Linked DNA regions of Ovis aries. The protein of the gene in region 6 purifies or fractionates together with the protein of the main gene of each other region. This does not show direct contact. Links are inferred from orthologs where the notes say so. Each region holds a gene or a part of one and is shown on either strand. Other genes may lie near its edges. The genes, in order: SPSB2, TULP4, ASB1, ASB6, ASB7, RNF7 and RAB40B.

Evidence for each region.
Region 1: the proteins of RNF7 (region 6) and SPSB2 purify together in Homo sapiens (co-immunoprecipitation; 3 studies listed by BioGRID and IntAct, with this or other methods). This does not show direct contact. The link is inferred for Ovis aries from reciprocal best matches to the Homo sapiens genes RNF7 and SPSB2.
Region 2: the proteins of RNF7 (region 6) and TULP4 purify together in Homo sapiens (co-immunoprecipitation; 3 studies listed by BioGRID and IntAct, with this or other methods). This does not show direct contact. The link is inferred for Ovis aries from reciprocal best matches to the Homo sapiens genes RNF7 and TULP4.
Region 3: the proteins of RNF7 (region 6) and ASB1 purify together in Homo sapiens (co-immunoprecipitation; 3 studies listed by BioGRID and IntAct, with this or other methods). This does not show direct contact. The link is inferred for Ovis aries from reciprocal best matches to the Homo sapiens genes RNF7 and ASB1.
Region 4: the proteins of RNF7 (region 6) and ASB6 purify together in Homo sapiens (co-immunoprecipitation; 4 studies listed by BioGRID and IntAct, counting the BioPlex papers as one, with this or other methods). This does not show direct contact. The link is inferred for Ovis aries from reciprocal best matches to the Homo sapiens genes RNF7 and ASB6.
Region 5: the proteins of RNF7 (region 6) and ASB7 purify together in Homo sapiens (co-immunoprecipitation; 4 studies listed by BioGRID and IntAct, with this or other methods). This does not show direct contact. The link is inferred for Ovis aries from reciprocal best matches to the Homo sapiens genes RNF7 and ASB7.
Region 7: the proteins of RNF7 (region 6) and RAB40B purify together in Homo sapiens (affinity purification with mass spectrometry; 3 studies listed by BioGRID and IntAct, with this or other methods). This does not show direct contact. The link is inferred for Ovis aries from reciprocal best matches to the Homo sapiens genes RNF7 and RAB40B.

The regions. Positions count from the first base shown.
Region 1 is NC_056056.1:209,407,687-209,411,787, reverse strand, and holds the start of SPSB2 (SPRY domain-containing SOCS box protein 2), read right to left. Parts: upstream 2,801-4,101; 5' UTR 1-2,800. UniProt on the Homo sapiens protein: Substrate recognition component of a SCF-like ECS (Elongin BC-CUL2/5-SOCS-box protein) E3 ubiquitin-protein ligase complex which mediates the ubiquitination and subsequent proteasomal degradation of target proteins.
Region 2 is NC_056061.1:82,683,940-82,687,439, forward strand, and holds part of TULP4 (tubby-related protein 4), read left to right. Parts: intron 1-801; coding exon 802-946; intron 947-2,805; coding exon 2,806-2,899; intron 2,900-3,500. UniProt on the Homo sapiens protein: May be a substrate-recognition component of a SCF-like ECS (Elongin-Cullin-SOCS-box protein) E3 ubiquitin ligase complex which mediates the ubiquitination and subsequent proteasomal degradation of target proteins.
Region 3 is NC_056054.1:2,901,068-2,904,567, reverse strand, and holds part of ASB1 (ankyrin repeat and SOCS box protein 1), read left to right. Parts: intron 1-3,239; coding exon 3,240-3,500. UniProt on the Homo sapiens protein: Probable substrate-recognition component of a SCF-like ECS (Elongin-Cullin-SOCS-box protein) E3 ligase complex which mediates the ubiquitination and subsequent proteasomal degradation of target proteins.
Region 4 is NC_056056.1:6,876,063-6,880,205, forward strand, and holds the start of ASB6 (ankyrin repeat and SOCS box protein 6), read left to right. Parts: upstream 1-1,343; 5' UTR 1,344-1,498; coding exon 1,499-1,611; intron 1,612-2,657; coding exon 2,658-2,839; intron 2,840-3,816; coding exon 3,817-3,923; intron 3,924-4,018; coding exon 4,019-4,127; intron 4,128-4,143. UniProt on the Homo sapiens protein: Probable substrate-recognition component of a SCF-like ECS (Elongin-Cullin-SOCS-box protein) E3 ubiquitin-protein ligase complex which mediates the ubiquitination and subsequent proteasomal degradation of target proteins.
Region 5 is NC_056071.1:5,390,636-5,394,135, reverse strand, and holds part of ASB7 (ankyrin repeat and SOCS box protein 7), read left to right. Parts: intron 1-1,667; coding exon 1,668-2,273; intron 2,274-3,500. UniProt on the Homo sapiens protein: Probable substrate-recognition component of a SCF-like ECS (Elongin-Cullin-SOCS-box protein) E3 ubiquitin-protein ligase complex which mediates the ubiquitination and subsequent proteasomal degradation of target proteins.
Region 6 is NC_056054.1:247,812,867-247,815,074, forward strand, and holds the end of RNF7 (RING-box protein 2), read right to left. Parts: intron 1,419-2,208; coding exon 1,300-1,418; 3' UTR 501-1,299; downstream 1-500. UniProt on the Homo sapiens protein: Catalytic component of multiple cullin-5-RING E3 ubiquitin-protein ligase complexes (ECS complexes), which mediate the ubiquitination and subsequent proteasomal degradation of target proteins.
Region 7 is NC_056064.1:49,673,226-49,676,725, forward strand, and holds the end of RAB40B (ras-related protein Rab-40B), read left to right. Parts: intron 1-328; coding exon 329-406; intron 407-1,080; coding exon 1,081-1,303; intron 1,304-2,202; coding exon 2,203-2,474; 3' UTR 2,475-3,232; downstream 3,233-3,500. UniProt on the Homo sapiens protein: RAB40B small GTPase acts as substrate-recognition components of the ECS(RAB40B) E3 ubiquitin ligase complex which mediates the ubiquitination of target proteins.

The DNA.
Region 1 (4,101 bases), on a different chromosome or scaffold from region 6:
ATTTCTTGCAAATGAAACAATACAGTATGTATTCTTTGTATTCTTTTGTGTCTGACCTGTTTTTTCCTCAACATTAGGTCTGTGAGAGTCATCCATGTTGTTGCATGAAATGATAGTTGTTTGAATATTCCATTGTAAGCGTGGGCTTCCCTGATGGCTCAGCAAGTAAAGAGTCCATCTGAAATGCAGGAGACACAGGAGACTTGGCCCGGGAAGATCCCCTGGAGGAGGAAACGGCAACCTACTCCAGTAATCTTGCCTGGAAAATGCCATGGACAGAGGAGCCTGGTGGCCTACAGTCCATGGCGTCAGAAAGAGTCAGACAAAACTGAGCCCAGGGCATACGCATGTTGTATGGATATACCACAACTGTTTCCATCTTTAGCTACTGTGTATAGTTATCAGGAGTCTTTTAATGGACCTAGGCAGCTCATTTTTGTTGGGGGCATACTTACGTGCAGAATTGTTGGGTTACAAGGAATTACAATGTATAGATTTAACCACATGTAATTTTCAGGTTTCTCGCCACAGAGGGATTTTGTTCAGAAATGAAATCGTTCAGTTATTTACAGCATGGAACGCTTTAACAAGTTTATGAAAATTTGAGCTGTTCCGTTCTTTCTCTTTATCAGTTCCTCAGCTTTTTATTACTGGTTTTCTGTTCTTCGTGTATTTCAGTTTCTCCCACAGAGCCACCACGATCCACTTGCTAGGCCACTCAGTGAGTTTCACTTGTCAACAGAAAACCCTTAAAGTTCTAAACACATTCTTCCCAACATGCAAGGACTGTCTGAGGTTTGTTTCCATGCCTGCTGAATATAAAAGATGCAACTGGAAATATTGGAGCATCTTCAAATTGTTCAACTCATGACCACATTAAGCCCAGCATCAGCTCTCCCTGGCTCTCAAGGAGGAATCTCAGCCTCATGCATGTGACTTTGAAACAGAACTTCACGCTTACAGCAGAACGAAGGATGGGGTGATGTTAGGGGGAAGAAAACTTCAATGCCTTTATGAGCGCATTCATAAAGCGTGTGGGACTGCAGAGTGGTATTGCTGCCTGTGAGCGGCAATGACAAAGCCAAGGCCTTTCTCTCTGATGTCCAACTTAGCTTCTAGGATGTAGACTGTAAAAGCAAATCAAGAAAAATACTGCAGCTACCCAGGACTTTGCATTTGAAATGCTGGAGTACAGAAGAAAAAAAAAAAATTTTTTTTTTAAGGACACTGGGATTTGTATCTTTGTAGAACTCTCTGGCTTTATTAAACACACTGCTTCACTGCCTCCAGGAAAGGAGGTGGAAGAGGTGGTCACGAGCTCATTTTGTTGTTGTTCAGTCGTGTCTGACTCTTTGAGACCCCGTAGATGATAGCCTTCTTTATCCATGGGATTCCCCAGGCAAGAATACTGGAGCAGGTTGCCATTTCTGTCTCCCGGGAATCTTCCTGACCCAGGGATTGAACCCGACTCTCCTGTGTTGCAGGTGAATTCTTTACTGCTGAGGCACCAGGAAGCCCCCACAAAGTCTTTCCTTACTTTTAAACCAGGGTCTTGAGCTACTAGTTTGGAAACATAAAAGCAGTCGGGCAAGTCCCCCTCAGAAGATACCAACCTTGCTATATTCTGGGGGACAGCGCTTTGGCCAATATTTCTTAGTAGTCCTGGGTAGGTTCCCCCACAGATACAGCCTCATAAACGGTTGGAACATATCTGGTTTCTAAACCTGTTATGCCATCCTTGGCTAGTTGTGAAATTCTTCCATCCCAACGCCCTCTTGTCTGGCCGAAGCGTGAACTATGACAAGGCTAAGTTTTTCTTTTTCCTTTTCTGCCATGTATGGCCATTGTGAGGCACCTATTTCTGCTTCATTTCTTCCAGGAATAAGTTTAGTGTGTTCTCATTCCTGATTTAAGATTCACACGTACCTTGCTGTCCCTGTAACAGCAGAAGAACCTGATGACCTGTCTTCACACATCTATTGAATCTCAATTGCACGTGTGATTTCTTGAGGTCATACTCCTGTGCCACGTTGGAGATGGCCCTCGCTAAGTAAGCCCATTTTCCTCCCAGCGCGGGAAGGAACTGCTGCTTCTTTGGGTGGGCGCCAGATGAAACTGTTAGATTGCCTTCAGGTGGGTCGTGTTATACGGAAAAGAGGCAGCTTAAAAACACTAGTTTGAAAAGCAAAACACTAGAACCGCAGTCAGGCTCAGGCCCAGGGCCAAGGGCAGAGTCCAGTCCCACCGTCGGTGGGGAGCAGTACCTGGAGACCTGCCACCCTATTTAATCTGAGAATTGGTGTGTTTGTGTGCAGACTCCCGTGCTCAGTCGTGTTCAAGTCTTTGCGACCCCTTGGACTGTTGCCCACCAGGCTCCTCGGTCCATGGAATTCTGTGGAGACACGCAAGAGTACTGCGGTGAGTTGCCATTTCCTCCTCCAGGGGAAGCTTCCCCACCCAAGGATAGAACCTGTCTCCTACACTGGCAGGAGGATTCTTTACCGCTGCGCCCCCAGGGAAGCCCTGAGAATTGTTGAGCTCACTTTAAGTGTGCCTGATGCAACCCCATCACCTCTCATTTAATCCACACAACTAAGATGGCCCAGTGTTGACAGGTTTATACACTGGGTCTCGGAAAGGCTAACCGACTTGTCTGTGACTAGAGCTGGTAAATGGCAGCGTCGGGACTCAAAAAATGAAAAGCCACTGCGCCAAACCCAAGGGTGGTGACCAAATGGCGATTGCTGGTAACGCTCCCAGCTCTCCGAGCCAGACGCGCCACCCCCGCCGCCGCCAGGGAACCGGTTATGTAACACGCGGGGGCGCGGACTCCCGGGGGCGGCGGTCACGTACGTGGCTATCTGCGCAGGCGCGGGGGCCGGGCGGCTGCAGGGGCTCGCGCGCCCCCTAGCGGCCGCAGCGGTGACGCGGTCTCCGCTCCGCCCGCTCCCAGTGTGCTGCTTTGCAGCTTCCGCCCCCGCCCACATCCCTCAGGCGTTTGATTCTGGAACATTAAGCGCCGGAACAAAGGCCCCAGGGCGGAACCGAGGGCCTTTAAGCCACGGCTGCACCTTTGGACTTCAGAGGGGAGTAAAAGAGCTGGTGCTTCCGCAGATCCGCTTATCGAGGCTAACACCCGGAGTTTTCGTACCTATAAAGGGCTCCCTTCCTCTCTCCCTCAAGAAACTGTCCTTACCTCGCCATCTCTCTCTTCTTCCTGTGGACAATATCGCTCTATCTAGGGATCCTCACCACGGGAGAGTCTGTGACCTCCACCTGGGAGGTGCGAGGCCACAAGTCGCAGACAGCCAGGTTATGCTAAAGACTGCAGCCTAAAGGAGCTCGCCTGTTATAAAAACCACCCTCTCAAACTCTGCAAGCCTACATCAGCCTGTCATTAAAAGTCCTGCTTGCCAAGTCAATGCCCGTTTGTTTATCATTGGTAGTTTTTAAAAGACTGGCTCAAGATTGTCTAACTTCACCTTTATGTCCCTTAAGGCCTCCACTTTCCAGTGACTCATAAGTGAGGATATCCGCTGGCTGGTCCTTCCTTTATGCCTTTATGCCTTCCTTTATGTCAGGGATTCTTAAAGTGGAGGGAGGAACAGAGAGGGGTGTCCTTAATTACTTTTGAAAAGCACATTTACCATTAGTTCTGGGGACATCCCTGGCGGTCCAGTGGTTGGGGCTCTGTGGTTCCAAGCAGGGTGCACAGGTTCAGTTTCCTGGTCAGGGAATTAGGATCCTGCATACTGTGCACGAGCCTGGCTTAAGACAGCAAATAAAGAAAAATTTAAAAGTTTCTTCAAAAAAGTTACTTAGGAACATGAAATTGTGGACTTCTCTGCTGGTCCAGTGGTTGGGGCTCTGAGATTCCACTGCAAGGAGCCAGGGTTTGACTCCCAGTCCAAGAACCAACAACCCTCACACCGTGCTGTGTGGTCACATATTTAAAAAAAAAAAAAGTGCAAGCATAATTTAAAGAAAATTTTTAAAAAGTATTGAAAACTCATCACAATCTAATTATTGTACCACCTTTTGTAGTTTGCTAGGACTGCCATAACAAAAGGCTTAAGTAGTTTAAGCGACAGAAATTTATTT
Region 2 (3,500 bases), on a different chromosome or scaffold from region 6:
TTTACCACTGAGCCATCTGGGAGGCCCAGTATTTTGTAGAAAGTGAAAGTTAATTCTCAAGTGAAAGCATTAGTTGCTCTGCTGCTGCTGCTCAGTCACTTCAGTCATGTCCAACTCTGTGCAACCCTGTGGACTGCAGCCTTCCAGGCTCTTCCGTCCCTGGGATTCTCCAGGCAAGAACACTGGAGTGGGTTGCCGTTTCATTCTCCAATGCATGGAAGTGAAAAGGGAAAGTGAAGTCACTCAGTCGTGTCTGACCCTCAGCGACCCTGTGGACTGCACCCTTTGGGGCTTCTCCATCCATGGGATTTTCCAGGCAAGAGTACTGGAGTGGGGTGCCATTGCCTTCTCTGGTTAGTTGCTCAGTTGTGTCCAACTCTTTGCGACCCCATGGACTGAGGCCTGCAGGGTTTCTCTGTCCCTGGAATTCTCCAGGCAAGAATACTGGAGTGGGGTGGCCATTCCCTTCTCCAGGGGATCGTCCCAACCCAGGGATCGAACCCAGGTCTCCTGCACTGCTGGCAGATTCTTTACCATCTGAGCCACCAGAGAAGCCTCAAGTAAAAGTTCCTTACAAATGAATCACTTGATCTAACTGCAGTTTATTTTTAAATATATATTATTCCACATACAATTCTGTCCTTCTTTCCTGATGTTCATAAGGCAAAAAAAGCAGGCGGTATGGACTTGATTAAATTAAGGGCCCCGCCCCTGAGAGTGTGACGTCCACAGGGGCTGCTCGAGAGTGAGGAGGTCCAGGGGCCTATGGGTAGGTGCCTGACCCTGGCCTGGTCTCTGCAGGATCAACATCGAGGCCCGGAAGTCCCCCAAGCTGTCGCGCGCTGCTCAGGAGCTCTCCCGCTCTCCTCGCCTGCCCATGCGCAAGCCGTCCATCGGCTCGCCCAGCCTGGCACGGAGGGAGTTCCCCTTTGAAGACATCACTCAGGTATCGGAGCCCTGCTGCCCTTCCCCCTTGCACGTGCATGAGGGCGGCTGAGCCCTGGGGACCGTCTCCATGCCTGGGATGGCAGCCCCTCGGGGCCCTTGTCACCTCCTTGTCCCACTCGGCTTCCCTCCCACCTGGGGATCCCCGTGGCTGCCACGAGAGCCTTCTCGAAGGCAGCTCTGCTTGAGACATCTCCTCACGTCCACCGCAGGACCCCCAACCACTCCTGACCCCTCAGTGACTCCCAGCGTCCCAGGAGCCCAGCCCTGGTCACAGCCCCACGTCTGGCTGGCCTGTCTCCCTCCTGGCCCCCTTCACCCCGGGGCCACTGCCTTGTGGTTGACTGCCTCTTCCACTTTCTGCCTGCATCTCCCTATCAGTGGGCCCACCTTCTTGTCTGCTCCCCGTGGTTTCTGTCTTCAGGTTTCCAGGTATAACCACCTCTGTCCAAAGCCTGCCTTCCCTGGCTTAGCCACAGTAAGGCCAGTGCATCCTGTTTATGCTCCCTTATCCTTTCTCGGCGACTCCCTCGTGTGTGAATAACTACAAGCCTTATCTCCTCCCTAGGGTTATAAGCTGAGGGTATGTGTGTATACAGGTTTTTTTAAACTATAATTGACCTGCAACACTACTGTTAGTTACTAGTGTACAACATAGTGATTTGGTATTTTTATACATTTTAAAATGGTCACTATGATAAGTCTGCTTACTGGCTGTCACCATACAAAGTTATTACAATGTTATTGGCTATATTCTCCATGCTGTACATTTCATCCCTGAAAGTATTTATTTTGTAACTGGAGTTGTAGCTCTCAATCTCCCTCAATTTCACTCATCACCCTCCACCCCGACCCCAGCAACCACCTGTTCGTTCCCCATGAGTCTGTTTCTGGTTTATGTTTGTTCATTTGTTTTGCAGTCCACGCATAAGTGAAGTCATGCAGTGTTTGTCTGACACACTTCACTTAGCATACGGCCTCCAGGTCTGTTCGTGTTATTGCAGATGGCTAATGCTTCACTCTTTCCATGGCTGAGGAATATTTCAGTGTGTGTGTGTTTACCACAGCTTCTTTACCCATTTATCTGTTATTGGGTGGTTAGGTTGCCTCCATGTCTTGGATGCTTTAAATAATACTGCTCTGAACATTAGAAGTGCACATATCTTTTCATATGGTATTTCAATTTTTTAGTTTTTTGAGGAACCTCCATACTGTTTCTCACAGTGGCTGTACCAGCTTAACGTTTCTACCAGCAGTGTTGGAGGGTTCCCTTTCTTGAGCTGGGTTTTATTCATCTTTATTATTGCTTTTGCACCTGTGTGTGTATACATGCACACACACACACACAGCCTATGTATATGTGTGGTTTGGGGCACAGTGATAACTTTTAAAATTTTTTGAAATTTAATCGAATGAGAAAACAGATAATTGGGTGGTCTTGGCACACACAGTTATCAGTACAACTGATGTTTCCAGGAGAAATAAGAACTCAAGGCTAAGAGTGGAGTCAGAGCTTGGTACCCTTGTAGTTCAAGTGACTGGGCAAAAGGAGAGGCGAAGAAAAGTGTGCCGAAGTCACTCTTGTGACCTTTTAACCTCCCCACGCATGGACACACTGGGATCCGTCCACCCCTTGCTCCCGACCCGAGAACCACAGCCCGTGAGCCACCATTTGGAAACAGGGCTGATGTGCTCTCATCACCGTCTGGTCTTGAAAACAGTGGAATGACACAGGGTGAATATTTCCATCAGCAGCCACCACCAGCAGCTTTTAAGCAAAAAGTGTTAGCATTCTTACTTCTTAAGTGATTGATAGAAAATATGGAAACAGATTGTGATTCTTCTTCTTTTTCCCCACAGCACAACTATCTCGCTCAGGTCACGTCTAATATCTGGGGAACCAAATTCAAGATCGTGGGCTTGGCTGCTTTCCTGCCAGCCAACCTCGGTGCAGGTAAGCGCTGCACCCGCTCTGGAGCTCGGGCTCAGGAACCGATTTCAGCCTCCGTGGTGCACAGTGAGCTCTTACAGCACCGGAAGACTAGCTTGTATTTCCCTCCAAAGTTTGACTCAAGCCACCATGGTTTAGTGGAGAATAGAATTATTCTATTCAATTTTTTTCCCTCCAGCGGTGCTTTCATTTTTTTTATACAAGCCCTGGGTGATAAAAATAGCCAAAAGCGCTGATAGGTTTTCTGGTCATTTTGATTTCTGGCCTTTTACTGTGGGCAGATTTTGGTACCAGTGTCCTCAGGTTCTTGAAGCAAAAGAAATTTCTGAGCAAAGTCAAGAAGAGAGCATTAGAGGCTATACGAACAAGTTGGCTGACTGTTAGTGCAGTTCTTAGTGGTAAATCTTTATAGACTTCATTTTCGAGTATCAGTTAAATGTCATGTCTGTTGGAAGCATGAGACATTGGGGAAAATGGAATCGGGAGGACAGAGCCGAGCAGGAACCCAGAGCATCTGGCACTCTCTGTACCCAACTCTAGTGAGTAGCTCCAACTGCTCACATTTATTTGGCCCTTTTATAGAAAGCATGTGGCAGTTCCCTGT
Region 3 (3,500 bases), about 240 Mb from region 6:
CTTCTTCTCTTTCTGCCATAAGGGTGGTGTCATATGCATAGCTGATACCTGTTATTGATATTTCTCCCAGCAATCTTGATTCCTGCTTGTGCTTCTTCCAGCCCAGCGTTTCTCATGATGTACTCTGCATATAAGTTAAATAAGCAGGGTGACAGTATACAGCCTTGGCGTACTCTTTTCCTATTTGGAACCAGTCTGTTGTTCCATGTCCAGTTCTAACTGTTGCTTCCTGGCCTGCATATAGGTTTCTTAAGAAGCAGGCCAGGTGGTCTGGTATTCCTATCTCTTGAGGAATTTTCCATAGTTTGTTGTGATCTACACAGTCAAAATCACTGCAGGTGGTGACTGGAGCCATGAAATTAAAAGACGCTTACTCCTTGGAAAGTAAGTACTCCTTGGAAAGTTATGACCAACTTAGACTGTATATTAAAAAGGAGAGACATTACTTTGCCAACAAAGGTTCATCTAGTCAACAAAGGCTATGGTTTTTCCAGTAGTCATGTATGGATGTGAGAGGTGGACAATAAAGAAAGCTGAGCGCTGAAGATGGTTGATGGTTTTAAACTGTGGTGTTGGAGAAGACTCTGGAGAGTCCCTTGGACTGCAAGGAGATCCAACCAGTTCATCTTAAAGATCAGTCCTGGGTGTTCCATTAGAGGGACTGATGTTGAAGCTGAAACCCCAATACTTTGGCCACCTGATGCGAAGAGCTGACTCATTTGAAAAGACCCTGATGCTGGGAAAGATTGAAGACAGAAGGAGAAGTGGACGACAGAGGATGAGATGGTTGGATGGTATCATCGACTCAACGGACATGGGTCTGGGTGGACTCTGGGAGTTGGTGATGGACAGGGAGGCCTGATGTGCTGCAGTCCATGGGGTCGCAAAGAGTCAGACATGACTAAGTGACTGAACTGAACTGAACTGAACACAGTCAAAGGCTTTGGCATAGTCAATAAGGCAGAAACACATGTTTTTCTGGAACTCTCGTGCTTTTTCAATGATCCACATGATGTTGGCAATTTGAACTCTGGTTCCTCTGCCTTTTGTAAATCCAGCTTGAACATCTGGAAGTTCACAGTTTGTGTATTGCTGAAGCCTGGCTTGGAGAATTTTGAGCACCATTTTACTAGTGTGTGGGATGAGTGCAATTGTGCAATAGTTTGAGCATTCTTCGGCATTGCCTTTCTTTGGGATTGGAATGAAAACTGACCTTTTCCAGTCCTGTGGCCACTGCTGAGTTTTCCAAATTTGCTGGCATATTGAGTGCAGCACTCTCACAGCATCATCTTCCAGGATTTGAAATAGCTCAACTGGAATTCCATCACCTCCACTAGCTTTGTTCATAGTGATGCTTCCTAAGGCCCACTTGACTTCACATTCCAAGATGTCTGGCTCTAGGTGAGTGATCACACCATCGTGATTATCTGGGTTGTGATGATCTTTTTGGTATAGTTCTGTGTATTCTTTCCACCTCTTAGTTTCTTCTTCTGTTTGGTCCGTACCATTTCTGTCCTTTATTGAGCCCATCTTTGCATGAAATGTTCCCTTGGTATCTCTAATTTTCTTGATGAGATCTCTAGTCTTTCCCATTCTGTTGTGTTCCTCTATTTGCACTGATCGCTGAGGAAGGCTTTCTTAATTCTCCTTGCTATTCTTTGGAACTCTGCATTCACATGGGTATATCTTTCCCTTTCTTCTTTGCTTTTCACTTCTCTTCTTTTCACAGGTATTTGTAAGGCCTCCTCAGATGGCCATTTTGCTTTTTTGCATTTCTTTTTCTTGCTCCCTGTCTCCTGTACAATGTCACAAACCTCCGCCCATAGTTCATCAGGCACTCTGTCAGATCTAGTCCCTTAAATCTATTTGTCACTTCCACTGTATAATTGCAAGGGATTTGATTTAGGTCATACCTGAATGGTCTAGTGGTTTTCCCTACTTTCTTCAATTTCAGTCTGAATTTGGCAATAAGGAGTTCATGATCTGAGCCACAGTCAGCTCCCGGTCTTGTTTTTGCTGACTGAATAGAGCTTCTCCATCTTTGGCCACAGAGAATATAACCAATCTGATTTTGGTATTGACCATCTGGTGATGTCCATGTGTAGAGTCTTCTCTTGTGTTGTTGGAAGAGGGTGTTTGCTATGACCAGTGCGTTCTTGGCAAAACTCTTAGCCTTTGCCCTGCTTCATTTTGTACTCCCAAGACCAGATTTGCCTGTTATTCCACGTGTTTCTTGACTTCCTGCTTTTGCTCCAGTTCCCTATAACAAAAAGGACATCTTTTTTGGCTGTTAGTTCTAGAAGATCTTATAGGTCTTCATAGAACCATTCAACTTCAGCTTCTTCAGCATTACTGGTTGGGGCATAGACTTGGATTACTGTGATATTGAATGGTTTGCCTTGGAGACGAACAGAGGTCATTCTGTCATATTTGAGACTGCATCCAGTACTGCATATTCTGACTGTTTTGTTGACTGTGATGGCTACTCCATTTTTTCTGAGTGATTCTTGCCCACAGCAGTAGATATATAATGGTCATCTGAGTTAAATTCACGCACTCAAGTTCATTTTAGTTTGCTGATTCCTAAAATGTTGACGTTCATCCTTGCCATCTCCTGTTTAACCACTTCCAGTTTGCCTTGACTCATGGGCCTAACATTCCAGGTTCCTGTGCAGTATTGCTCTTTACAGCATCGGACCTTGCTTCATCACCAGTCACATCCGCAGCGTTTCCCCTTAGTTCTGTGAATATGATGGATTATGTTAATAGAGTTTCTGATATAGGAACCACCCCTGGAATAACCCCCATGAGGTCATCGTGTGTTGCTGTCTTAATGTGTTTGGAGTCCCTTTGCTGACGTTTAATTGGAGGTTGTAAGTTGATGCTCCTAAGTGCAGGTCACTGGTAAGTTTTCTTTATGGTATGACCTTTGTTTGGTTTGGGGTTTATTCTGTTGTTCATTGCATAAGATGAATTTGGGAATTGTCCTTCTTTATCTTTGTTTGAAATAGTTAAAATAGCCGTGGGATTGTTGGGTCTTCACAGGTTAGAAAGAATTCCCTTAGGAGTTTTCTTGTGTGAGAGGATCCTAAGGTTCTGAGCTACCGTGGTGCCTGCTGGGAGTCATGGGCCCACTGTGAGCAGGGGATGCTCCGGTGCTGGGGCGTCGGGCCGTCCCTGCAGGTGCGGTCAGGGTCTGCCGACCATGCTGGCCTGACTCTCCGTGTGTCTCTCTGCAGGTATGGGGCGGACGTCGATGTCAACCACCACCTGACTCCTGACGCCCAGCCCCCTTTCTCACGGCGGCTCACCTCCTTGGTGGTCTGCCCGCTGTACATCAGCGCTGCCTACCACAACCTGCAGTGCTTCAAGCTGCTGCTGCAGGCGGGGGCGAACCCGGACTTCAACTGCAACGGCCCCGTCAACACGCAGGGCTTTTACAGGGGCTCGCCCGGCTGCGTCATGGACGCCGTCCTGCGTCATGGCTGCGAGGCGGCCTT
Region 4 (4,143 bases), on a different chromosome or scaffold from region 6:
GTGTGTGTGTGTTAGTCGCTCAGTCGTGTCCAACTTTTTGCGACCCCATGGACTGTAGCCTACCAGGCTCCTCTGTCCGTGGAATTCTCCAGGCAAGAATACTGGAGTGGGTTGCCATTTCCTCTTCCAGGGGATCTTCCCGACCCAGGGATCGAACCCAGGTCTCCTGAATTACAGGCAGATTCCCTGCTGATCCCCCTACCACTTTTCTTGCTCCTTTAGGCAACGGAGGGGGAAGCAAAATTAGGTCTTCTGAGACCTGATGGGGATTTTAAAGGTTCATCTCTTGATCTGCACAACAACCTTGTGAACTGAAGAATTATAAGCAAGCAATTGTCCAGCCCTTGCTGCATACTGGACCCTGCTGGGTCCCCATCGCTGGCCTGGAAGGCTTTGGATTGCGTTTTTCTTGGTGGCCGGGGTCGGGGATGGGGGAGCCCTACTCTACCCATTTTTTTATGTTTAATTGTAGGCACATGGGGTTGTCTTTAAATTCATCTCTAAACGTTTTCCACTTCCTTCAAGACTTGTCCCTGACGAGTGTCAGGTGGGAGAGACTCCCAAGCCCACGTGGTGGAGGGTGGGGGCGATGGGAGACCAAGGCTGCCACCTGAGCGGCTGGGACTGGCGCACCCCTTCACGACGAGCTATCCAGAATCACGAAGGCATCAAGGCTCCACCCTGGGCCTCAAGGTTGTGGACGTTCGAATGCGAGGCCCAAGGCCAGACGCTACTCCTTAGAAAAGTGGCCCCAGCCTTGGGCTCATTCCTGTTAGATTCAACTGACAGTAACAGAGCTCTTGACCCAAGATCTTGCGTGGGTTTGATTATCCCCATTTTACAGATGTAGAAAGTAAAGTTCATTGAGTCCATCAAGGCAGAAAGTGGAAGCCCCAGTAGGCTGCAAGGGCTAAGGAATCGTCCCCATCGCCCGTCAGGGTGGGTGTGGTCCAGTCAGCCTGGGGAGAAGGTGAAAGCCAGGCCCAACCGTGGTCCGACCCAACTCCCACCCAAGTCGGGGGCACCGGGGGTCCTTCCTGGGAGCTGGGCACGGATCCGGCCGGTGTGTGCTCGCTCAATGGGCGGAGCTAGGACGGCGCCCAGCGGCCGCGAGCGGGATAGCAAGGCGGAGCTGGGCCGGGCCGGGAAAGGAGCTTCCGGGCCTAGGGCTGAGATCGGACTTGGCTGCCGGTCTGCGCCCTCCAGTCCTGCGGAGCTGTCCCCGCAAGGCACCCCTAGCTTGCGCGCCCAATCGCACCGCGATCCTCCGAAACCGCAGAGGGCGCTGTCGCCGCCGCCGCGATCCCTTCCCCGGGGCTTGAGCGGGCCGGAAGCGCGCGGGTGACTTCCGGCGCGTAGCCCCGGGTTGGGCGGTGCACCGGGCCGGGCGCGGGGCGGGGGACTGGACCCAGCGAGCGGCCGAACCTGGTCAGGACCGCGGGCTCCGCGACGTATCCCAGTCGACGTCTCGGCCTCGGTGGAAGGTGCGGCCGCCGCCATGCCGTTCCTGCATGGCTTCCGGAGGATTATCTTCGAGTACCAGCCGCTCGTGGATGCTATCCTGGGCTCCTTGGGCATCCAGGACCCCGAGCGGCAGGAGCCCCTGGACGGGTAACTCGCGCCCTTCCCCGCCTCAGACCGGCGCGGCACCCCTTTCCTTGTCCCCACAAATATGGCGGGCGGTGTCCTCATCTGTCAGAGGAGACCGAGGGCGGGCGGGGATGGGTGGAGGCGGCCGCGGCCCGCTCAGGGAGGCCCGTGGGGCGGGGTGGCGGCAGGGCCTCTGCCTCAGCGCCCCACCCTGCGCCCTGCCGGTCCTGTGCCCTCTACCTGGAGCTGCAGAGGAGCAGGATGTAGTCGGTAAACGCGGCGCGGGATGAGCTTTCTGTAGCCCGGAGTTTCTCGTTTGGTATAGACAGGCGCGCGTCTGTCATACGTTAGCCTGTGGGAAGGCTGTTCAGAAAGCGCATCGTTTAGAGGTTACATCGGCGAGCTAAAACCCTCACCCTTCGTGGTGATCGTGCTACCAGAGAGAGGCTGACAGTGGTTAAAGTGGTATATACTGCCTTACGTGGAGTGGAGAAAAGAGCCGAGGAGAGGGGGGATCGGGGGTGTGTTTTGGGCATCAGTTGGAATTGGCGAGGGGGGGTAGGCGGGTTGGGGCTGTGGTGCAAAGGGCTTTCTGGGTCCCTCAGCCTTTGGTGGACCAAACCGTCTCTGAGTGTGATCGGGCTTTGGGAGGTCTTCTGACCGCCCTGGCTGCTGGGCGGCCTGAGCTGGGGTGCAGCACCTTCTGCAGCCCCGGGTTAGTCGGTGTCTGGTTCTTGCCTTTGGCCGCAAGGGTTCCCTTCAGTGCCAACAGCGCAGGTGTATGAGGCTTTGTACCTAAGTCAGGGGCCAGGTTGTATGGGTGACTTGGAAGGAGGTTGATGACAGCCCCAGTCCTTTCTCAGCAAACCTGGAGTCTGCTCCATTGAAAAGATCCAGCTTGGTCCACCAACCTTTTCGGAAGAGACTTTCTGCCCCATGGAGCCAGGGCCCTGCCTGGGGTGGGAGTGGGGGCGAAGTGGGGGTGACTGCAGGAGACCAAGGCCACTTACCCGCAGGGTGCCCTGCCAACCTGTCCCACCCTCAGCTGCTCCTCTCTCCTGCCCCAGGCCCAGTTATGCTGCCAGCGAGGAGAGCCGCATCCTTGTTCTCACCGAGCTGCTGGAGAGAAAAGCCCACTCTCCATTTTACCAGGAAGGCGTGAGCAACGCCCTGCTGAAGATGGCCGAGCTGGGGCTGCCGCGCGCAGCCGCTGTGCTCCTGCGGAATGGAGCCAACCTCAACTTTGAAGGTCTGCCGGAGCCTGGAGGGCTGGGGTGGATAGATGGCTTGAGTGTGGCCTGCCGGGGGTGGGCAGTCAAGCCTCCAGGCTCTGCCCTCATCTCTTCAGGGGTGATGCCTGAGGAAACCCACACTGGGTGGCCTCCCACCCCCTGCAGTTTCCCAGAGGCCCTCAACCACCTCTGATCAGGAGCAAGTTTGTCGCTGCTCCTATCAGGCGACTGACTTAGCAAACTTTCCCCCAGCTCCCAGCTAAATCCTTGCTTCCATTAATGCAAAAATGGGGCTGCTGGCACTGTGCCCAGAGCTAAGGGAAAGTAATTTTCTGCCGCTGGTTCTGAGCCATGTTGCATGCTGGTTCCTGCCACAGGGAGAGGGGGGAAACAGATAAGACACATTGGGCATAAATCACGGACTGATGGTGTTGGCGTCTAGCTGGTGTGCCCGGGAGGTGCTGATGGAGCCATCTTCCTTCCCTCTTTGTTTTGCCCTGGGTGGGGGGTTGGGGGGGCAGGCAAGGTCAGCCGGGAGACACTCGGGACTGACTTGTTCCCGAATGGGGTTTTTGTGCTGATACAGGACGTGCCAGGCGTGTCTCTCCTCCCCTTTGGAGGACAGGCTCAGAGGCGGCTGGGCTCCTGGGAGGTCAAGGAGCGGGGGAGGCGTTCTGCAGTCAGTCACTTGGGAGACCCAGCTTTGAGCATTTGTGGGTGTTCCTCCCCACAGCCTTGTTTTAGGTCCTATTTTACAAAAGGGACTAAAACCCAGATTAAGTACCTTGTCCGTTCACTGGAACACCTCCCCAGGACCCGAACCTAGGCCTGACTGAGCACCCTAGCGTCTGACGAGGACAGCTGTGTCCTGACCCCTCACGGTGCCAGGAGCCCTTGGGTCGGAGCGTTGGGGCTAGGCTGCCAGGCTGGTCCTGGAATCCTGTGAGAATGTGCCGTCGGGCAGGGCTGATGTGAGCTGTGTCTGCGCCTTCAGACCCGGTCACCTACTACACGGCGCTGCACATCGCCGTCCTGCGAAACCAGCCTGACATGGTAGAGCTGCTGGTGCGCCACGGGGCCGACATCAACCGGAGGGACCGGGTAAGAGCCAGCCCTGCTCTGAAGGAGGCATGTGGCCGGGGCCCTGAGCCGCTCACAGGCCCCAGGGCCAACCTGGCTGTGCTTTCTTGGCTCAGATCCACGAGAGCAGCCCCCTGGACCTGGCCAGCGAGGAGCCGGAGCGCCTGCCCTGCCTGCAACGCCTCCTGGACCTCGGAGCAGACGTCAATGCGGCCGACAAGCATGGTGGGTGCTCCTGGGA
Region 5 (3,500 bases), on a different chromosome or scaffold from region 6:
TGACAAGATTTACAGTTTTGTTTGAATAGTAAAGGTTCTTTTAGATTTCATTCATGTCCTCACTCACTCTAGATAAGTAAGGTATCTGGAAAAAACTTGAGGGCATCATGTCAAAATGGAAACATTAGGAGCCCGTGTTCACATCTTACCAGTAGATGGCAGCAATGTGCTTTGTTTAAATGTTCTTGCTTTTTTTTTTTTTTTTAAGTCGCAACTTGAAACTATACTATATAGTTTTCTTTTAGTGAAAAGCAGGACAGATACGATACCCTTTTTTTCTTTAAACACATAAAAGTCTTATTACTATTGTATAATATCAGTTTATATGAAATAATTTTAGAAATTCAACTGATATAACTTGCCTAAAAAGTGCTAACATTGTATAGCTTTTGTTGTAACTACTTCTTAATTGAAATCTGTATTTTCCACAGTATTATTACTATTTTACATATACTTTTCTGCCTCATAGGTTTTTCTAAGAGCTGAAACTGTCATAAAATGTTACAGAACTAAAAACTATTTTTACTAAACAATACAGGAGTGTTTAATCACGTAACTGTGGAGGCTTTTTCTTTGTTTATTTGAAAAACACTCGTGAATTTTTCTCTTTCATGAACAAAGAAAAAATTAAGGGTGACTTTTATAAGAAGAAAACATTTTACTCTTAGGTAGTTAGGTCCAACCAGTTATCTTTGCATGGACTTGCTGGCCTCCGTTCCCGTCACTTCCGTAAGTGACCTGTCTGCAGTGAATAAAGGTTCTTTCCCCTCTTCTGCCCCCTGCCCAGGAAGGCCAGTGGGATGAGAGCAGTGCAGAACTGACTCTCAGGTTCAGGAAGGATTGGGAACAGGGGACAGAAGTCTCTGGCTTGAGGAGACACATAGCTGATAAATCATTTTAGTTTCTGTCTTCTCTTTTATTTCGAGAAATCTGTGGATTTAGAAGAGAGGTTTGGAACTGTTTTAGAAAATAATATTTACACAGTGCTGAAGTTTCTCCCAATTTTTCACTCAATGTGTGCTGCCTAATTCCTAAAAACTCCAGAGTTCTTACAAAACAAAGAATTCAGAATTGACTTTTATCTTATAGAAACATGATTTATCAAGATCACTTAACATATACCTTACATACTTTGAAATTTTTATAGACCACAAAAAACTTTTTTTTTTTTTACCTAATATACCCTAAAATAACACAGTCTGCCAGACCACAGTACATCCGTAATTTAGAGCAGCAGATGTTGCTACACATGCTTCTTTTTAAGACCAAGAAGCAGCACAAGAGAAAATAAAACAAAAAGTTCAAAACAGAAGAGAAACATGAAACAGTGCAGAGATGAGGGAGTTGGGAGGCCAAGGGCAGCTGGTTAGATTAGCAGAGCGAAGGGGTGTGGCGATCAGAGCTCTGTGTTGGCTGTATTTATCTTTTAAATGCTTTGTAAGTCGTATGCTCATCCTGTTAATCCAGGTTTGATGGCTTTCTACTAAAATTTATTTTCCATTAAAACTACTTCAATTAAGCTGAAGCAAGAAGGACTTGATGCTCATTATGTGTTTAATCATTCCCCATTTCATGTGAGAATTGGCTAAGATGTGCTGTGCCACGGCAGAATTTGTTGCTTTCTCTCCCAGAGTCTGCTAATGTTTTCATTTTGGTTTTAACTCTAGCTGATCCCACAGTTAAGGACTTAATCGGAGGCTTCACTGCTCTTCATTATGCAGCCATGCATGGCCGGGCCCGGATTGCACGCCTGATGTTAGAATCTGAATACAGGAGCGACATTATTAATGCAAAAAGCAATGATGGCTGGACTCCCCTTCATGTGGCCGCTCACTATGGTAGGGACTCATTTGTCCGACTCCTACTGGAGTTCAAGGCTGAGGTTGACCCGCTCAGTGATAAAGGTACAACGCCGCTTCAGCTCGCCATTATCCGAGAGCGGTCAAGCTGTGTGAAAATCCTCCTGGACCACAACGCCAACATCGACATTCAGAACGGTTTCCTGTTGAGATACGCTGTGATTAAAAGCAATCACTCTTATTGCCGAATGTTCCTCCAGAGAGGAGCAGACACAAACTTGGGTCGCTTAGAAGATGGACAGACTCCTTTACATTTGTCTGCCCTTAGGGACGATGTGCTCTGTGCACGGATGTTATATAATTACGGAGCGGACACGAACACAAGGAACTATGAAGGACAGACCCCATTGGCTGTTTCAATAAGCATTTCTGGAAGTAGTCGACCGTGTTTGGATTTCTTACAAGAAGTCACAAGTATGTAATTTAATTATTGCTATTATTACATTTAAGAATTTTTTTTGCTTCTTCTGAGGAGCTTAAGGTGTTTTTACAACTTAAAATGACCAGATGTTAATGATTCTTGTTAGCCCTGCTCTTTCCACTCATCTGAAATGAAAAAGAAAGCTCTGTATCACAGGATTTCATAAAAATAATCAATTGTGTTACTAAAAGTAAATAGGCATAGATAGGATGAGAGAAAAATTGGCGAAAAGGATGCAGAGAGAGGAATTTTTTAAATAGAGATCAATACGAGAACAGGGCATTTCCTACTAGTCATAAACATAGTCTTTCCAGGCTTTCATGAAATTGAGAATGAGGAATTAGAAGGAGAATTTTGGATCTTAGCATCCTTAGCTATGGAAGTGTCTTAGAATTTGTGCTTTATTCCTAAGCTGTGCTCGTGTTTTATCATTCCGTTTCTGCTTCTTTACAGTGTGAACACACGTGGAATGGAATAGCAGTGTTATTTGTTAGGCATCCTAGGAGTACAGATTAAGGATGCTAGATATTAGAAATGGTTGTAAGGAAAAGTTTGTTCCCAGTAGGAAATTTGGTGCCACTGTCCCTGGCCCACATAGGACAGTGTAACCGGCCTGTTTTCGTGTAGGTGCCTTATTTTTAAGCTGCAAAGTGTGTGGCCTGCTGCGTTAATGGTGCCTGTGTTATTTTTCGGATGGAGGAATTGGTTTGTGTGGAGCAGCCACCCTCTCCTCTCAGACTTCCTCGTGGGTACTCTCAGAGCTTCATATTCAACATGAAGCTATCGTCTCTAAACGCAGCGTTTTGTCTACTGTACTTTTTAATGAATTCCCCTTTCCTCAACTAATTTTTATGTTTCATTCATTGTTATAGAAGAAGAAAGACATTCTAGGTGCCAAGTAGTAGAGGATTAGGAGCTTACCTGACCTGCTTGTAAATAATCCACTGTCCTTGGAACTGAATTTGGGAGTAGAAAATTTATGAAGAAATGAGGTATAATTTGGATTTTGTTTATTCATAAGAAAGACAGGATGAAATTATTACCACTGAGTATATTCAGACTCAAGCATAAAAAAAATGACACTTGGGGTCTAACCCGTGCTGTCCACAGAGCGTTCAGTGATGATGGAAATGGCCTCTGTGCTGGCCACTGTGGCAGCCACTAGCCCCATGTGGCTGTTGAGCACTGATTTTGTGGCAGGTGCCACACAGGAAATGGAT
Region 6 (2,208 bases):
GATTAATTCTTTCAGTAGCTAATTGTGAAAAAAATAATAAAGCAAAATTTACAAGAAATCTAATTAATACATAGTAGGTAAGTTGAAAGCATACAGAATTCTAATTTTTAATTATTATACTTTTAATATTCTTTTATGTATCCATATTCCTTAGATTCAGAAAGATTCAGACTGGCAACTCCACAACTACAGAAGTGAATGGTTAAGATTTCAAGATTTTAGTTGTCTAAATGCATAGCAATAGCCTATGTTATAAAAAAATTCAAAATGAACTTGTGGTTCCTAAATTGTCCTAAGATATTTCCATTGAATGTGAATTGACTTGATAGAATTTAAGTATTTTTTTACACTTATGTTTGCAGGTAATAAAGTTATTAATAATTTTATTATTACCAAAGAAAGAGCAAATGAATATTTTTTCAAATTAACCAAAAGCATTCACTTGCCAAATTAGTTTAAGTTGAAAGTTGAGCATAAACTTGCAATAATGACAATTCAAATGAGGTAAACAGAATAAACCATTTATTAAAACATCATGTGGTAAAGTTAACTTCTTGACCCAATGTGACAATGGTAAACATTTTCCCCTTGTTAACATTCCACCTAAAACACAGTTAAATTATAACACAATACAACCAGATGCTGAAAAGACTTCTGTCCTTTACCACTCACTAGGTGAGTGCAGATCTAGGTTTTCTTGATGAATCGAGAGAGGATTATAAAGACACTCGAAATCCCATATACCCAAAAGTTAAATTTTATTTACCCTGTTCCCTGGTCCAAACTTAAAATTATATCAAATAAAAATTTCATTAATTATCCTCCCCCCTGCCAAAAATAAATATTAGGAACACATTAAGGATAAGAACTGGGTTTTAAACTGTACTTTATTTGTTACTATAACATTGTCTTTTTAAAAAATTGATCAACCATAAGCATGCAAAAAATTCTCTTCTGAACGGAACCACTTCAATAACTCCTTGGATATCGGTAAGTCAATTATGAAGGTTGTTCAATTTATAGTCCTCTCCTTTATAGCACTTCTAAGCAGTGTGTGAGACACATACCACAGAGGTAGGAAAGACCATCCTTAATAAATTATCTTAATTGTAGAGAATTTCTGAAAATAAAACTGAAGAAGGCTAAACCATGCCTTTGATGAGTCCCAAAAGACCACAGATCCATCTCCTATTCGAAGAATTAGTCCCCTGGAGAGTTCTAGCCGCTGTAGGGCACTTGATAACAAGATCCACCAGGGCTCCGAACAACTGACTGCATGAAGGGCACCTTCGGTTGCTCTCACTTCCCGATTCTCTGGACCACCCAGTCCTGCTGGCAGAGAGGGCAGCGATTGTTCTGTTTCACCCACAAGGACATGCAGCAGTTGTGGAAGGAATGATTGCATTCTCCCCAGACCACTGGGAAAAAAAAAAGAATATCTGACATTACATATTTCAATTTAACTTACTGAAGTCAGAATTCTATTTTGTTATATAATAATTATGGTTCATAATCTTAAGGATGGTTAACTGGCCAAAATAAATTTTTTTAGTCATAAAGAAAAAGAACCTTACATATAGAAATTATACTTTAAAAATGAGGTAAGGGGACTTCCCTGGTGGTCCAGGGGCTAAGACTCTGCGCTCTCAATGTAGGGGGCCCGGGGTTCAATCCCTGGTCAGGGAACTAGCTTCCGCATGCCACAACTAAGACCTGGTATAGCCAATGAAAAAAGAAAAAAATGAGGTAGGGCACCATGCTTGGAAACCTGACATCACTGTTGGAATCCGAGGATGCTGTGGTGGCTTCCCGCTCCTATGTGGCGCCACATGCTGTCAGTCTTTCTCTCGTTGGGAGGTTAAAAGACCTGTGTGTGTGTACTAAGTCGGCTCACTTGTATTTGACTCCTTGCAACCCTATGGACTGTAGCCTGCCAGGCTCCTCTGTCCATGGGATTCTCCAGGCAAGAATAGTGGAGTGGATTTCCAGGCCCTTATCCCAGGGATCTTTCAGACTCAGGGATGGAACCCACATCTCTTGTGCCTCCTGCACTGGCAGACAGGTTCTTTACTAGCACCACCAGGGAAGCCCAGAAGACGAGTCTTCCTCAGATCCCAAACCACTCCACTCGTGCATTGACCCTGGAGACCTTTGGGGCCTTTAAGTTAGTTTATTTAAAGATGTCCTCCTGATTTTAAAATTTTCTTT
Region 7 (3,500 bases), on a different chromosome or scaffold from region 6:
CACATGTGTGTGTCTGCACGTGTGTGGGAACTCTCTGTCCAGGTGGGCGGGCTCTGCAGTCCCCCCACATTCCATGTCCCTAGACCAGCTCATGAATGTGGGGAACTGAGTTCTACTACCCAACTTACCTTCGCATTTGAGGGTTTCTCCATGAGCTTATGAAATTATCATTGGAAATGATCATATAGCTGCTACATTTGGCACATAAATTTTAAAAAATGTGTTTTGCATTAAAATAAGTAGAATGACTGTTTAGCTCGTTGTGAGTGTGTGCCTGAGTGGCCTGCGTGCTGGCCAGTCTCTCCACAAGTGACTGTTGTCTCCCCAGGGTGTGATCCTGGTATACGACATCGCGAACCGCTGGTCCTTTGATGGCATCGACCGGTGGATTAAGGAGATCAATGAGGTACAACGGGGCAGGGCTCCCTCCCTGTGGGCCCATGGAGGGGTGGGCAGGGGAGCCAGGGCACAAGGCTCCAGCCACAGCGGGGAGGACATGTCACCTCTTAGCACAGGACGAGGCCCTGCACACAGTCAGGTGGGTTGACCAGCGCTAACTAGGCTGCTATCTGCGGGCACCCTGACCGGCCCAGCTGCCAATGGAGACGTCTAGTGGTCAGTCCCATCCACTGTTGTAAGTGTCCTGGGGTGGCCGTAACAGCTCACCACAGACTGTGTGGCTGAACACAAAGGAAACTCATTCTCTGCGTTCTGGGGTCAGAGTCCAAAATCAAGGTGTTGGCTCCCTCTGTCTGAGAGGAGGGTCCTTCCTGCCTCCTCCAGCTTCTGGTGTTGCTGACAGTCCCTGGCCTTTGATCTCTGGATGCCTCACTCCATCTCTGCTCTGCCGTCATGTGCCTTCTTCCCTGAGCGTCCTGTGTCCTCTCCCCTTCTTATAAGGTCACAGTGACGGGATGTCAGGTCCACCCTAAGATCTTAACTAATTCCATCTGCAAAGCCCCTATTTTCAAAAAAGGACATATTCTGAAGTTCTACATGTATATCATCCCAGGGCACCTGTCATTACAACAACAAAGCTTGTGCCTGACCCACTTTCCTTGCCTCTTTGTCACCCTTTAGCATGCCCCAGGGGTCCCTAAGATCCTGGTGGGGAACCGCCTGCACCTGGCCTTCAAGCGGCAGGTCCCCACAGAGCAGGCCCAGGCCTACGCAGAGCGCCTGGGTGTGACGTTCTTCGAGGTCAGCCCACTGTGCAATTTCAACATCACTGAGTCCTTTATGGAGCTGGCCAGGATCGTGCTGCTGCGGCACGGGATGGACCGGCTCTGGAGGCCGAGCAAGGGTAGGTGCTCCTCCGGGCTGCCCGGCAGCCCCTCCAGCGGTCAGCCTCCCAGGACCTGCCCCCAGGTCGCTGTCTCCATTCTCATAAATCAGAGCTTCTGCCCCTTGGCACTACAGCCAGCTGGGATGGTGTGTCCTCTAGTGGGGGCATCCCCTATGCTGTGGGTGAGCTGCACCCTTGGTCTCCCTGCCCCCATTTGTGAAAACCACAAATGTCTCCAGATTTTGCCAAATGTCCTAGGGAGTCAAAATCGCCCCCAGTTGAGAAGCACTGTTCTGAAAGTTGTTAGGACCTTGATTCTAAAAGGAAGCAAAGCCTTGGGTTGTGTTTCTTCTGTCTGATGCTCCAGGGGTTGAGGAGTGCCCTGACTGCACCAAGGGTGAGACGCAGTCTCTGCTCCCAGCAGGCCCCTGGGGAGTCCCGCTCTGTTTGAGCAGGGGCTCTGACTCATAAAACGAACAATGTAGCTGAAATATAAGTGACAGCATTTGCTTTTCTGGTGTGTTCTCCAGTATGTCTTTATAAAGCTGATAACACATTATTCTGGGTCAGCTACTCTGTTGGGAAGCACATTTCCTGAAGCGCTTGGCCTCAAGCCCCAAAAGCTGGTTGCATGAATCCTGAGGAGACGTGATTGGCCATTGCAGGCCAGGACTCGTCTCTCAGACCCAGTGGGAGGGACGGTTGTGGTCTCAAGTTTGGAGGCAAACTGGGTTTAAGGAGACAAAAGCAGGACCACCTATTTCTAATTGCCCCCTGTAGGCACAGGGTGGGAGACTGGGCCTTGACGTCTTGCCCCAGAGTCCCAGAGAGGAGGGTGGACAGGCATCCTGCTGCCCCGGGGCTGGCCCCACGCCCAGGACACTGCAAGTGAACCGGGTTTCCTTTTCTTTCCCAAGTCCTGAGCTTGCAGGACCTGTGCTGCCGGGCAGTGGTGTCTTGCACGCCTGCACACCTGCTGGACAAGCTGCCGCTGCCCACGGCCCTCAGGAGCCACCTCAAGTCCTTCTCGATGGCCACCGGCCTGAGCGCCAGGATGGTGCACGGCCGGCCCTGCTCCCTCGCCACCAGCTCCGGCCACAAGAGGACCAGCCTCCGAAAAGCCAAGGGCACCCACCTCCCCCAGAGCCCCCCCAGACGCTGCTCCAGGAACAACTGCAAAGTCTCTTGAGGAGGGTGCAAGGCAGAGGAGGGGCACAGATGGGAGGGGGAGGCCGCTCTGGACCTAGACGCCTGCCAGTGTTGTGACCACGTGGCCCCGAGCAATGAAACCGAGGCTGGTACCCTGCTTACCAGATACTTCTGCATGGATGGGCATGGGGCTCTTATTTCAGACATGTGTTTATAAAGGGAAGAACTCTTGATAACATGGAATTTTGAATGTAACCTATCATGATTGCAGTGCAACTTTTTTCTTGAAATAACTACTTTTTATAAGAATGGTGATATGTTTGTGATGAGTATAAATTCTAGGGACTACAAAAAGTGGAAATGGAGAGAGAAATTAAGAGTTTTTGATGCTATGAGGGGTCTTTTTATAAACCTCCTTTTTAATGTGGAAGCACTAATTTATAAAACGCCATAGATAAGTTAGAGATTACGCACAGCCAATTTGTCCAGCTTGTGTATGAAACGGATTTGATCAAGTTTTTGCTACGTTATTTACTACGTTTTAGGATAAGTGATTTATATGCATATTTTCTGTAAATCTACATTTTTTTGTACAAATGTTTTACAAGTTATGACGCTAAAGGGAAGAAAATGCCAAAGATATTTCTAGTTACAGCAAACACACTGCAGCATGGTTACACCACGTCCAGACTGGCAAGAGAATGTCACTCAGAGCCATTTTCAGCTAAGAGTGAAGCAAACTCTGTTGTTTAAGAATGGATGTTTCCTGACAATAAAAAGCATACTCGTTTCTTGGTAGACTCGTTGGCTGCTTCTTCCTGGTTTTGTGTACTTCCATCACCCTTGATCCCATTTGCTTTATTGCCTATTTCAGTTACCACAGTCAGTGCTAGTACCTGGCATTGGCAACAGGGCTGTGTCCCTGACCTGAACCACCGAGTGAAAAGATGTCTTTTCCTGAAAAGAACGCGGAGGCAGACAGTGGGGCCTCAAGGGGCAGCTGTCCAGCCTGTGTCTGTACAGGAAGAGTGGGAGGTGCTCTGGCCCCAGTGCGTGGGGCATCACT